3 linked regions of the Macaca mulatta genome follow. The main gene of each other region encodes a partner of the protein of the gene in region 3 in a complex. Links are inferred from orthologs where the notes say so. Each region holds a gene or a part of one and is shown on either strand. Other genes may lie near its edges.

The links. Proteins that work in one complex are often made in the same cells at the same time.
Region 1: the proteins of EGLN1 (region 3) and EPAS1 are in contact, whole or in part, in a crystal structure (PDB 7Q5X), measured with the Homo sapiens proteins. The link is inferred for Macaca mulatta from reciprocal best matches to the Homo sapiens genes EGLN1 and EPAS1. Residues at the interface, in NP_071334.1 of Homo sapiens: Gln239, Leu240, Val241, Ser242, Lys244, Ile251, Arg252, Trp258, Asp277, Ile280, Arg281, Ile292, Asn293, Gly294, Arg295, Thr296, Lys297, Tyr310, Val311, Arg312, His313, Val314, Asp315, Pro317, Asn318, Asp320, Arg322, Arg370, Trp389, Tyr390; in NP_001421.2 of Homo sapiens: Asp525, Leu526, Glu527, Thr528, Leu529, Ala530, Pro531, Tyr532, Ile533, Pro534, Met535, Asp536, Gly537, Glu538, Asp539, Phe540, Gln541, Leu542.
Region 2: the proteins of EGLN1 (region 3) and HIF1A are in contact, whole or in part, in a crystal structure (PDB 3HQR), measured with the Homo sapiens proteins. The link is inferred for Macaca mulatta from reciprocal best matches to the Homo sapiens genes EGLN1 and HIF1A. Residues at the interface, in NP_071334.1 of Homo sapiens: Gln239, Leu240, Val241, Ser242, Gln243, Lys244, Ile251, Arg252, Trp258, Lys262, Asp277, Ile280, Arg281, Ile292, Asn293, Gly294, Arg295, Thr296, Lys297, Tyr310, Val311, Arg312, His313, Val314, Asp315, Pro317, Asn318, Asp320, Arg322, Arg370; in NP_001521.1 of Homo sapiens: Leu559, Glu560, Met561, Leu562, Ala563, Pro564, Tyr565, Ile566, Pro567, Met568, Asp570, Asp571, Phe572, Gln573, Leu574.

Annotation. Positions count from the first base shown.
Region 1 is NC_133418.1:78,484,883-78,488,396, forward strand, and holds part of EPAS1 (endothelial PAS domain-containing protein 1), read right to left. Parts: intron 2,032-3,514; coding exon 1,880-2,031; intron 1,468-1,879; coding exon 1,383-1,467; intron 1-1,382.
Region 2 is NC_133412.1:134,854,552-134,858,065, forward strand, and holds part of HIF1A (hypoxia-inducible factor 1-alpha), read left to right. Parts: intron 1-1,378; coding exon 1,379-1,487; intron 1,488-2,385; coding exon 2,386-2,512; intron 2,513-3,514.
Region 3 is NC_133406.1:17,609,913-17,614,009, forward strand, and holds the start of EGLN1 (egl nine homolog 1), read left to right. Parts: upstream 1-1,296; 5' UTR 1,297-1,725; coding exon 1,726-2,616; intron 2,617-4,097. UniProt on the Homo sapiens protein: Cellular oxygen sensor that catalyzes, under normoxic conditions, the post-translational formation of 4-hydroxyproline in hypoxia-inducible factor (HIF) alpha proteins.

The DNA of each region.
Region 1 (3,514 bases), on a different chromosome or scaffold from region 3:
CAGGCTCAGTCTGTAACAGGGTGGAGGTGAGCCAATGAAGTATCTGCTTTTGCAGCATGTGTGGTAATAAGAGCCAACCCTTGTAGGCTTAGCCTCACTGCCTCTGTTATTCAGGTTGGACAAGCATAAGCCCCATGGCAGTGACAGGTGATATTATTAAAGAGGACATCTAGACATGCACAGAATCTGCCCAGACCAGTGACAGAATCTCAGGTTTGGAAGGGACCTTGACAGTCATTAAGCCCCACTTCTGCCCAAAGCTTCAGTCCTCTTAACAATGTCCCTATTCATGCCTTTGTTGAATGGCCACAGTTACGAGAGAGGAAGCTCCACTGCCATTGCAACGTGCTTTCTGCCTGTGTGGGTCCTCTCATCCACTGGCACCTGCTGGGTATCCCCATGGGTAAGGTCCTGTACGCTAGATCTTTTTAAATCTCTTCTCCGTCAAAACCTACTTGACCTATGTCTCATCAGGGTACCATTTCCTGTGGTAGCTCATCTCCAAAAGTAGCTCCAACAAGCCATGCCTTTTGACACTCATGGCTTTGTGTAGTTTCCTCCCACAATGAGCCAGGGCTGTCCTGTAACATGCTCTAACCAACAACATGGGGCAGAAGTGATGCTCTGCTAATTTGAGGACAAAACCTTGGGAAGGCCTGGCAACTTCCACCTTAGTGCTTCTGGGAGCCCTGAGCTGCCACATGTCTGGCTACCCTAGAGACACCGTATGGAGAGGGAGAGTCTCTGAGACTCCATGGAGTGACAGAACAGTCCCATTGTCCCAGCATGCCAGCTGAATCCAGGGTTCCAGCCACCTGACACAAGGTCCCAGACATGTGTGAGCTATCCTGATCACCCCAGCCTAGTCTGGCCCCCAGATGACTGCAGCCCCACTGACATCACATGGAGTATAAGACCCACCCACTGAACCCACAGAACGCTGGGAGATAATCATCAAAGCCCTATGTTTTAGGTGGTTTGTTCCACAGCAATAGATAACTACAGTAGTTCCTATAAGCACTTTGGCACAGACTGGTTTCTCACTGGTTTGGGTGGTGTCATTTGGCAGAGATGCTTGACTCTTGGGTGATGAAACCTCCTAGAGACAGTGTCCTAACCCAAAAGAGTCCCCTAGTAGTGGGACACCAGGCATCATGTGGGGCCAGCAGGAGATACTTCTGAGTACCGGGTCCTCTCAATGCCCCAATCTCATCTCACAGGCTACACACTTAAACGGAGGGCCAGCCTAGCTAAATTTTTTAAGGACATCCATTTTTCCTGCATTGCAAGGCCATGAGCTATCTCCCTTATACTTGTAGACAAAGGGGAGGCAGATTCCCACCCAGTGGGGGCAAGAAGGAAATAAACACAATTAAGGATACCATTTTTGAGACTCAGGTTCTCACGAATCTCCTCGTGGTCGCAGGGATGAGTGAAGTCAAAGATACTATGTCCTGTTAGCTCCACCTGTTTCAAAAACAAGGTTAGGCATCATTATTCCTAACAGTGAAGTAAAAGACTCCAAGAGGAAGCTGAGCCACCTTCCAGATTTGGAGGCAGGGAGGAGATTGAATTGGGTTTTCTCATAATCCCAGTCCAGTGTCAGGTCCACAGACAGAAAGATGTAATGGGGGATTACTGATGACAGAGTCTGTTAATGAGTCAGTAGAGAGCTGTCTGCCAGGATGGACATAAGCAAAGCCAAACCCAATGCCTGGGGGTGGGACTGTGGCCTGAGGCATGTGGCCTGAGGTCAGCGAGGGTCACAGTGGCCATTTACAGGGAAAGGTCAAGTGGGATTGTGGCTAGCACCTTCTACTCATTTCTACCCCCAAATGGAAACATTTCTTCTTTTGAAAGAGATAGAGGGGGGTGTCACCTGTGTAAGTCCCATGAACTTGCTGATGTTTTCTGACAGAAAGATCATGTCGCCATCTTGGGTCACCACGGCAATGAAACCCTCCAAGGCTTTCAGGTACAAGTTGTCCATCTGCTGGTCAGCTTCAGCTTCAGACTCATTTTCAGAGCAAACTGGAAAGAGAGGGGGGCGGGACAGTTACATGAATGTGGAGTGAAAACAGATGTGACTGGCACAGATAGGCATTTGCCAGGGATGGCGCAAAGGCATCGGGTGGACTCTTCTGGAAACGCGCACTGCCGACCATCTGAATGTCTGCCCCAGCCCGGCAGCAGGCACTGGATGAGCACCACTGCACAGAGGACACCCTGACAGGGGCTGTGAGGACAGTGTGCTTGTTGTGACAACAGTACTTCTGGCACTAGCAACGGGAGCAGTAGGAGCTGCTGTGTGAGTGGTTCGGGGTGGAAGTTTTCCTAGGCTGCCCCCAGCAACCACCTGTACAGCCTGTAGACTCGGCTCTTGTCCCAGACCAAAAACACCTCTTGGGCCCCAGGTCTTTGGTGGTTATACACAGACCACCGACTTCATTTCAGCCCTTTTCTCCTAGTTCATTATTTATCTCCAAAGACATTTACTTATGAAAATTTGTATTTATCCAGTGCAAACATCAATCAAAGTATGCCTGAATATAACGGTACTCATAGAAGCAGGAACAAATTTTAGCTGCTAATATATACTGCAATCACAACATGAAAGGTACTGCACTAAGCATGCTATGTAATCTTCACAGTGACCTACGAGGTAGATACTATTCTTAATCTCATTTTACAGATGAAGTGTACAGAGGTTAAGCCATTTGTCCAAAGGTATAAAGATTGCAAAGTTAGCAAGCTTTGACAGCTGAATCCAGAAGCCACACTCAACCATTCATAGGCTTTGGAGTTAAACACAGGTTCTCTTCCTAGATCACCCTCCTATTAGGCTATGACTCTGAATAAGGAACAACCTCTCTGGATATCACTTTCCTCATCAGCTAAATGGGAATAACAATTTCCACCTCTGAATTGTAAGGATTAGATAAGTATGTAAAGTGCCTAAAACTATAACAACAGTAAATTCTTTCTTCTTTCTGCTCCAAGACATGCACTACCCTCAAATTGCTCAGATCCCGGGTGAGGAATATATAGCACTCAGAGATGCAAAGCTAAGTAAAAGTTCAAGGGTGTCATAGCTGGGCTTCCAAGGAAAAGTGTAGATGGGACGAGCTCTAAGGGTCAGAGGACGAGGGGGTCACTTTGGGGTGATCACAGACAACTAACTGTTCCAAAGAAGATTTGCAGAGACTTAGAAAAACAGATTTCACTCTGTGGAATGAAAGAAGGGCCTTCTGAACCAGATGGGATTGTGTGAGCACTGGAAAACCCCTGGAGCAAGCTCCCTCCTAGACTGAAGAGAGGCCCATCTGGCTCAAGAGGAGAATCCATCTTCCAGTCTCAGAGATTGGGCTGGTGAGACAGGCCCAGTGTCCTGGAGGGGCCTCATGTGTCAAGCAAATGTGATCAGAGGAGTACATCTCAAAGCACTGCTTTGGGGAGATTAGTCTGGCAATGGCATACAGAGTGGTTTGGAGACAGTGAAGCCCAGAGGTGCAGA
Region 2 (3,514 bases), on a different chromosome or scaffold from region 3:
GTATTGGGATTACAGGCGAGCCACTGCACCCAGCTAGCAATTGTTTTTAAACATTAGTTCCAATGTAGTGTACACTGAAAACTTTTATGAAAGGAATTTCAAAAATTAAACCATTAAAAACATAACTACTAAGTACTACTACTACTACTACTACAATGATAGTTACATGATAGACTGAGTGTACATTTCATAAAGACAATATATCTATATAAGAATTTTTAAACTTGCCTGTCTGTATAATAGAAGTTTTATAGAAATTTTTTAAAAACCAAAGAAAACTGCAAAATAAGAGAGCAGTTAGATCACTTACCTATTTGGCATTCTCAACTATCTGGAACAACAAGGAGCCATTATGATTATGCATTTGGTTTATGGGGGGGTCGAAAAGTCAAAATAATATAACAAAGCTGATGTACTTTACTCATTAGAACAATTCTTCATGATTTAATATTAATTTTAGATATACATAGTTCATGTTTGATAACCAGATCAATACTGAGTGAAAAATAGCATAGTGGAAAGAGCAGGGGAGGGGAGGTAGGGATCTGGAGACCTAGAGTGTACTTTCATATCACAACTAGTGAGCAGTAGGACTTTGAGAAAGTTACCCAATAGGCCTCAGGATTCTCATTTATAAAATGGGTATGATATGCCTGCCTTATCTATCTTGGGAACTTAAGTAAGATTAAAATGAACTAATGAACTTGAAATGTTTTATAAACTGAAAATGCTATATGAATGTGAAATTGATCTTATATTTCAATAGTCCCAACAGTATCACCGCATTGTTATGTTAGGTGGAATAAAAGGACAATATTTAACTGTTTTGACTCTACAATAATGTCAATTTAGTTGTGTTCAGCTGTATTTTATAAAATAGGGATATGCATACTGTAGAAAATTTTCTGTTAAATTAAGCTTTGAAGGCCAGGTGCTCACGCCTGTAATCCCAGCACTTTGGGAGGCCAAGGTGGGCAGATCACTTGCGCTCAGGAGTTTGAGACCACCCTGAGCAACATGGTGAAATCCCATCTCTACAAAAATATATATATATAAATCAGCCATAATCCCATCTACTTGAGAGGCTGAGGTGGGAGGATCACTTGACTCCAGAGACAGAGCTTGGTTATAGTAAGCAGAAATCATGTCTCTGCACTCCAGCCTGGCTGACAGAGTGAGACCCTGTTTCACCCCAAAAAAAACAAGCTTTGACTTTTAGGGTGATAAACTTTAGTAATCAGGAGAGTTATGTTATATATATTACATTCCTTAATATTGGAGAACTAAGGAATTATGTATTTTCTTTAAAAGAGCTCACTGGATATTTTTTTAAAAAATAAAAGAGCTATATTTTCATTTACAATTTTTTTCTTTTCAGAACTACAGTTCCTGAGGAAGAACTAAATCCAAAGATACTAGCTTTGCAGAATGCTCAGAGAAAGCGAAAAATGGAACATGATGGTTCACTTTTTCAAGCAGTAGGAATTGTAAGTATGAGAGTAGTAGGTTTTGCTTTTCTAGCTAATGTGCTATTTCTGTGTGTGTGTGTGTGTGTGTGTGTGTTTCCACGTTTCTTCCAAATAGTAAAGTTATATTTTCAGAATTTATACATTGGGTTTTTTTTTACTCTGTATACACTGGTTTTTAAAAATACAAATGTTTAATGAATACATTCTTGGTATAAAAATTCCAAACAATTCCAATGTATTTTGAATTAAAAAGTGAAGTTCTCCCCTTACTCCACCCTGAATATCACCACCAATCTCATTCTCTTCCCTTTAAGTTACTTTGCCTGATTAAAAGAACTGGTATTGGCCGGGCGCAGTGCCTCACACCTGTAATCCCAGCACTTTGGGAGGCCGAGGCGAGGATCACTTGAGGTCAGGAGTTTGAGACCAGCCTGGCCAACTTGGTGAAACCCTGTCTCTACTAAAAATACAACAATCAGCCAGGTGTGGTAGTGCACGACTGTAATCCCAGCCACTCTGGAGGCTGAGGCAAGAGAATAGCTTGAACCCGGGAGGTGGAGGTTGCGGTGAGCCGAGATCAGGCCACTGCACTCCGCCTGGGTGAGAGAGTAAGAGTCCATCTCAAATTAAAAAAAGAACTGCTATGTTTTGGGGTAAGTCAATGGTGGTATAATACATTCTGATATTTTCAAACTAAATTAACTGGAAAGTATTTATAGACAGAATGGTCATAATGGATGGCAAATAACTTTATGGTCATAATGAATAGCAAATAACTTAAAGTATTTAAAATAATTTAGGGTAGTATTTTAGAAACTGCCTATATAATGTTATTAAATTTACACCGATTTCAAGGTTTTTGGTTGTTTAAAAAAAATTGAACAAACTAAACTTGAAATAACTTTACTGTTTATAGGGAACATTATTACAGCAGCCAGACGATCATGCAGCTACTACATCACTTTCTTGGAAACGTGTAAAAGGATGCAAATCTAGTGAACAGAATGGAATGGAGCAAAAGACAATTATTTTAATACCCTCTGGTTAGTTTATTCTTTCTGACCTTGAACATCACAGAGACAAAATACATGAAACATTTTTGTTTAGGAGCTTTAATCTAAGTGAGAAATGACTTTGGTTCCTTAGCAAGATTAAAAAGTAAAGTTGCGGCTGGGCGCGGTGGCTCACGCCTGTAATCCCAGCACTTTGGGAGGTCGAGGCGGATGGATCATCTGAGGTCAGGAGTTGGAGACCAGCCTGGCTACCATGGTGAAACCCCGTCTCTACTAAAAATACAAAAATTAGCTGGGTGTGGTGGTGGGTGCCTGTAATCCCACCTATTTGGGAGGCTGAGGCATGAGAATCGCTTGAACCCGGGAGGCAGAGGTTGCAATGAGCCAAGATGGCATCACTGCATTCCAGCCTGCGTGACAAGAGTGAGACTCTGCCTCAAAAAAAAAAAAAAAAAAAGTAGTATTTCATTTAATGGTCTTAATACAGAGATTAACATTTCAAGGTGGAGCTTTTCATTTTTCATAATTTTATTTGACTTATCTATGTCTGTGTGCTGTCAATATTGATAGAAGCTGAAATTTGTGAATTTTTATGACTACTTTTTTTTTCTTTTTTTTTCTTTTTTTTGTGAGACAGGGTCTTGCTCTGTTGCCCAGGCCTGGAGTGCAGTGGCATGATCATAGCTCACTGCAGTCTCAAATTCCTGTGCTCAAGCAATCATTTCAGCCCCCTGAGTAGCTTGCACTACAGACATGCCTCACCACGCCCGGCTGCTTTTTGTAGAGATGGGGTCTCACTACGTCGCCCAGGCTGGTTTCAAACTCCTGGCCTCAAGTGATCCTCCTGCCTCAGCCTGTGCTAGGATTACAGGCATCAGCCTCGATGCCCACCATATTTGTGCTTTTTTCCAAACTGTTATTTCTTTGTGCCTTTATTGTATCCTGTAAACATTTCTGAGACAGCAACAGTATCACTTGATTATACTTACTTTTTTACATAGTTGTTGTTTTGCCAGGTAGACTAAAAACCCT
Region 3 (4,097 bases):
ATCATCCTCTCACTTGATTGGATCCCCAGAATGCCATTAAACGGATGCAGCAGAATTTTTTAACAGTTTTAAATTCTGTATATTTGATGAAGAGGTTTTATATTTTTGGATTCAAGCCTCTTTTTAAACTTCTACAATGTGGTTCACAAAAATTCCTCATATCCTGCTTTTGAAATATATATTGCAGCTTTCGTAAGTTGGGAAGGTTACATTTCAAGGACTAAAGTTACAGTATACTCAAGGGGTACACAAGCCTAGCACCGCATTTTCCAGAGTGTTCGATAAAGATTGTTAAACTCTAAATCACAGGCCTTTTAATTCTTAAGATAAATAGCAGCAGAAAGAAACATCTTTGGCTTATTTCTGGTAAGGTTTTTATGCTCTATAAAACAAAGAATTGTATTCATCCGCGCAGCACAGATTCTATTAAAAATAAATGTGAGAGTTGTTAATGTAGTACTGCTCATTTACCACCAAAATTCACTCTTCAGGAATAATTCCATCAGTTTAAATTGGATATTGGAATGAGCATTGATTACCTCATGTAATTTGGTAGCCCAAAATTTCTTCATGGAGTTTTGAAGTCACCGGGATTTCAAAGGTTTTAATGAGTTTTTAATTTTTTTAAAATCCTCAAATTTCATTACCTTTAAATTAGGTTGAAACGGGGCGCAAGAGATTGGATTAACACCACAGTAATACTTACTTTGTTCTTAACCATTTCAGGGCTTCTTGAAATAGAGACTGTATGGTGTAATGGAAAAAGCCTTGGAATCTGAGAGCCTGATTCCTGGATTCAGTCCCAGTTCTGCGTGACCTTGGACAAGTTACTTCACTTCTCTGAATTTCCGTTTCCTCCTCTGCAAAATGAGGATAGCAACAGCCACCTTGCAACCCTTACTGGAGCGCGCCCCGCACACCCCGCGCCTGCCTCGACGAAGAGCAGCCATGATTACGACGCCGCCGCCGCCGCTCCGCTACCCGCTTGCGGCTGGCGCCCTCCCCCAGCAGGTGTAGGCGCTGCCGCGCTGCCCCACGCCTTTCCGCAGCTCGCGGGCCTGCGCTTCGGCGTCCCCAAGGAGGCCGCTGCAGGCTGAGGTAGCGCACCGGCCTCTCGCGTCCCAGTCCCGCCCTGGGCGGAGGCAGTGCAGGCGACCCAGCTCGGAGGCCGAGGCCCGGCCCCACGGAGTGCGGAGGAGCGCAGGCGGCCCCCGCCCCTCGGCCCTCCCCCCCGGCCCTCCCTCCGCCCCCTCCGCCCTTGCGCGCCGCCCGCCCGGGTCGCCGCGGGGCCGTGGTGTACGTGCAGAGCGCGCAGAGCGAGTGGCGCCCGCATGCCCTACGCTCCTCCACAGCCTGGGCCGGGCCGCCGAGGAGGCTGAGGCGGCGGCGGCGGCGGCGGCGGAGAGGGCCGGTCTTGCGCTCCCCAGGCCCGCGCGCTTGAGTCCAGGTTGCCATTCGCCGCACAGGCCGCATTCTCTCAGCCCTCGGCAGCGATGAGGCGCTGAGGCGGCCGCCGGCGCTGCGCCGGAGACTAGGACTCGGAAGCGGCCGGGCCGAGGGCGCGGGGTACCGGCCTCCCTGAGGCGAGGGTAGTGGGTACATGGCGCAGTAACGGCCCCTATCTCTCTCCCCGCTCCCCAGCCTCGGGCGAGGCCGTCCGGCCGCCACCCCTCTTGCTCGGCCGCCGCCGCCGCCGCTGCCGCCGCCGCCGCCGCCGCCGCCGCCATGGCCAATGACAGCGGCGGGCCCGGCGGGCCGAGCCCGAGCGAGCGAGACCGGCAGTACTGCGAGCTGTGCGGGAAGATGGAGAACCTGCTGCGCTGCAGCCGCTGCCGCAGCTCCTTCTACTGCTGCAAGGAGCACCAGCGTCAGGACTGGAAGAAGCACAAGCTCGTGTGCCAGGGCAGCGAGAGCGCCCTCGGCCCCGGAGTGGGCCCGCACCAGCACTCCGGCCCCGCGCCGCCGGTTGCAGCGCCGCCGCCCAGGGCCGGGGCCCGGGAGCCCAGGAAGGCAGCGGCGCGCCGGGACAACGCCTCCGGGGACGCGGCCAAGGCAAAAGCAAAGGGCAAGCCCCCGGCCGACCCCGCGGCGGCCGCGTCGCCGTCTCGCGCGGCCCCGGGCGGCCAGGGCTCGGCGGTGGCTGCCGAGGCCGAGCCCGGGAAGGAGGAGCCGCCGGCCCGCTCATCGCTGTTCCAGGAGAAGGCGAACCTGTACCCCCCGAGCAACACGCCCGGGGATGCGCTGAGCCCCAGCGGCGGCCTGCGGCCCAACGGGCAGACGAAGCCCCTGCCGGCGCTGAAGCTGGCGCTCGAGTACATCGTGCCGTGCATGAACAAGCACGGCATCTGTGTGGTGGACGACTTCCTCGGCAAGGAGACCGGACAGCAGATCGGCGACGAGGTGCGCGCCCTGCACGACACCGGGAAGTTCACGGACGGGCAGCTGGTCAGCCAGAAGAGCGACTCGTCCAAGGATATCCGAGGCGATAAGATCACCTGGATCGAGGGCAAGGAGCCCGGCTGCGAAACCATTGGGCTGCTCATGAGCAGCATGGACGACCTGATCCGCCACTGTAACGGGAAGCTGGGCAGCTACAAAATCAATGGCCGGACGAAAGTAAGTGTGTGCTGCGGGTTTGTGCTGGACAGACCCTTCTCGGCGGGCAGTCCCTGCCTGCGACTGTAACCGCCTAGGCTGAGAAGCAGCATTCCTCTGTATAGAAGGGACTCGTTGTGTAGCACCCCGTAAGGAAGACGGACAGAATTTGTAGTGGCTGTTTATCTAGTTAGCCCCTTTGTGTCCGCTGTTTTCCACTTACTGCCCGTTCACAAACTTCTCCGGCTAATTGCATGGTTTTCTGGCTAAACGTAGGCTCTTTAACTTTGCTATTTTCTTTCTTCCATTTCACTGTTGGTCACAATTCAAACCTTAGTGGCGTTTTAGCCACCCAGTGAGGGGGTGTTAGAGTACCACCCAAACCAAGTCCTGGTTCTGCATGTGCCTTGTGTTTGCATACGCTCTTGAATTTCCTATGGTGTCTGAACCACTCATCACATTTTGATTGAGAGTCAAACGCTATGTGCAGTGAAGAGTTTGCCAGCTGACCACAAAAAGGTAAATTTAAAATACGCATTTAGTCGAAAGACTGTCTATATTCAGGAAGAGCTTGGCTACTCACCTCCCCCTCTTATAGCTCTTATCCCTTACCCTGTTCCTACTGTTTTGAAACCCTTTACAAAAAGGGGAAAGAAGTATTTCCGTTTTCAGACTTCTCAGTGTAGGTAGGCTACATTTTTAGCATAAGTTTCCTTTATTTGCTTTGTTAATGTAATCCTTCTGTTGAAAACTGTTTTGTAACTTCCTGGAAAAAAACAAAACAAAACAAACAAAAACAACCACAACATGGAATTGGAGCAGGAGGCTCGTTTTATCCTCCCAATTTGGTGAGTTTTTGTTTTCTCTTTACCGTTGCGGTTTTTCCTCCACAGATTCTTCACTTCCTACCTAGTCTATTCCTAGCTCTTTCCTCCTTCATGATAAACAGTAGACTCTTTCCTCCTTAATACTCTCTTGCAGCTTTTTTTCATTTTACTTCTCAGATCTTGATCTTTTCTGTGTATATAGCTGCTCCCAGGCCGCCCTCCTTCACCATCAGTCTCTGTCTGATTTTGTGAGTTTTGAGAGATTGACCTGGGAGAGCATCACAGTTGCATGTTTGTACACACACGCTGACTCTTAACCAGTGGTTCTTTTTTATGTGTGCGTCAGATCATTTACTTTGACAGTCATTACATGTGATTCTCAGGCTGCCGGAAAGGCTGAACATAGGCAGGGAGAAAGTTACAAACATGAAAATGTGGGGAAAAATACAATGTGAAATCTAATTTACGTATTGCCACTTCATTGCTGGGTGAAGGCACAAGTCTTGATTTCTTGTAGTCTTAAAAAGGAACAGTTGAATAATATTAAACTGGAAGGGAAAGGGGGATCTGATGAAATCTCAGCCTTGGTCTTTCACTAGATTTGCGTTGATATTTTTAAGAAAGAACGTTGTCATGGATCACATCTGAACATAAAGTCCCGAGCTCCAGAGCAGG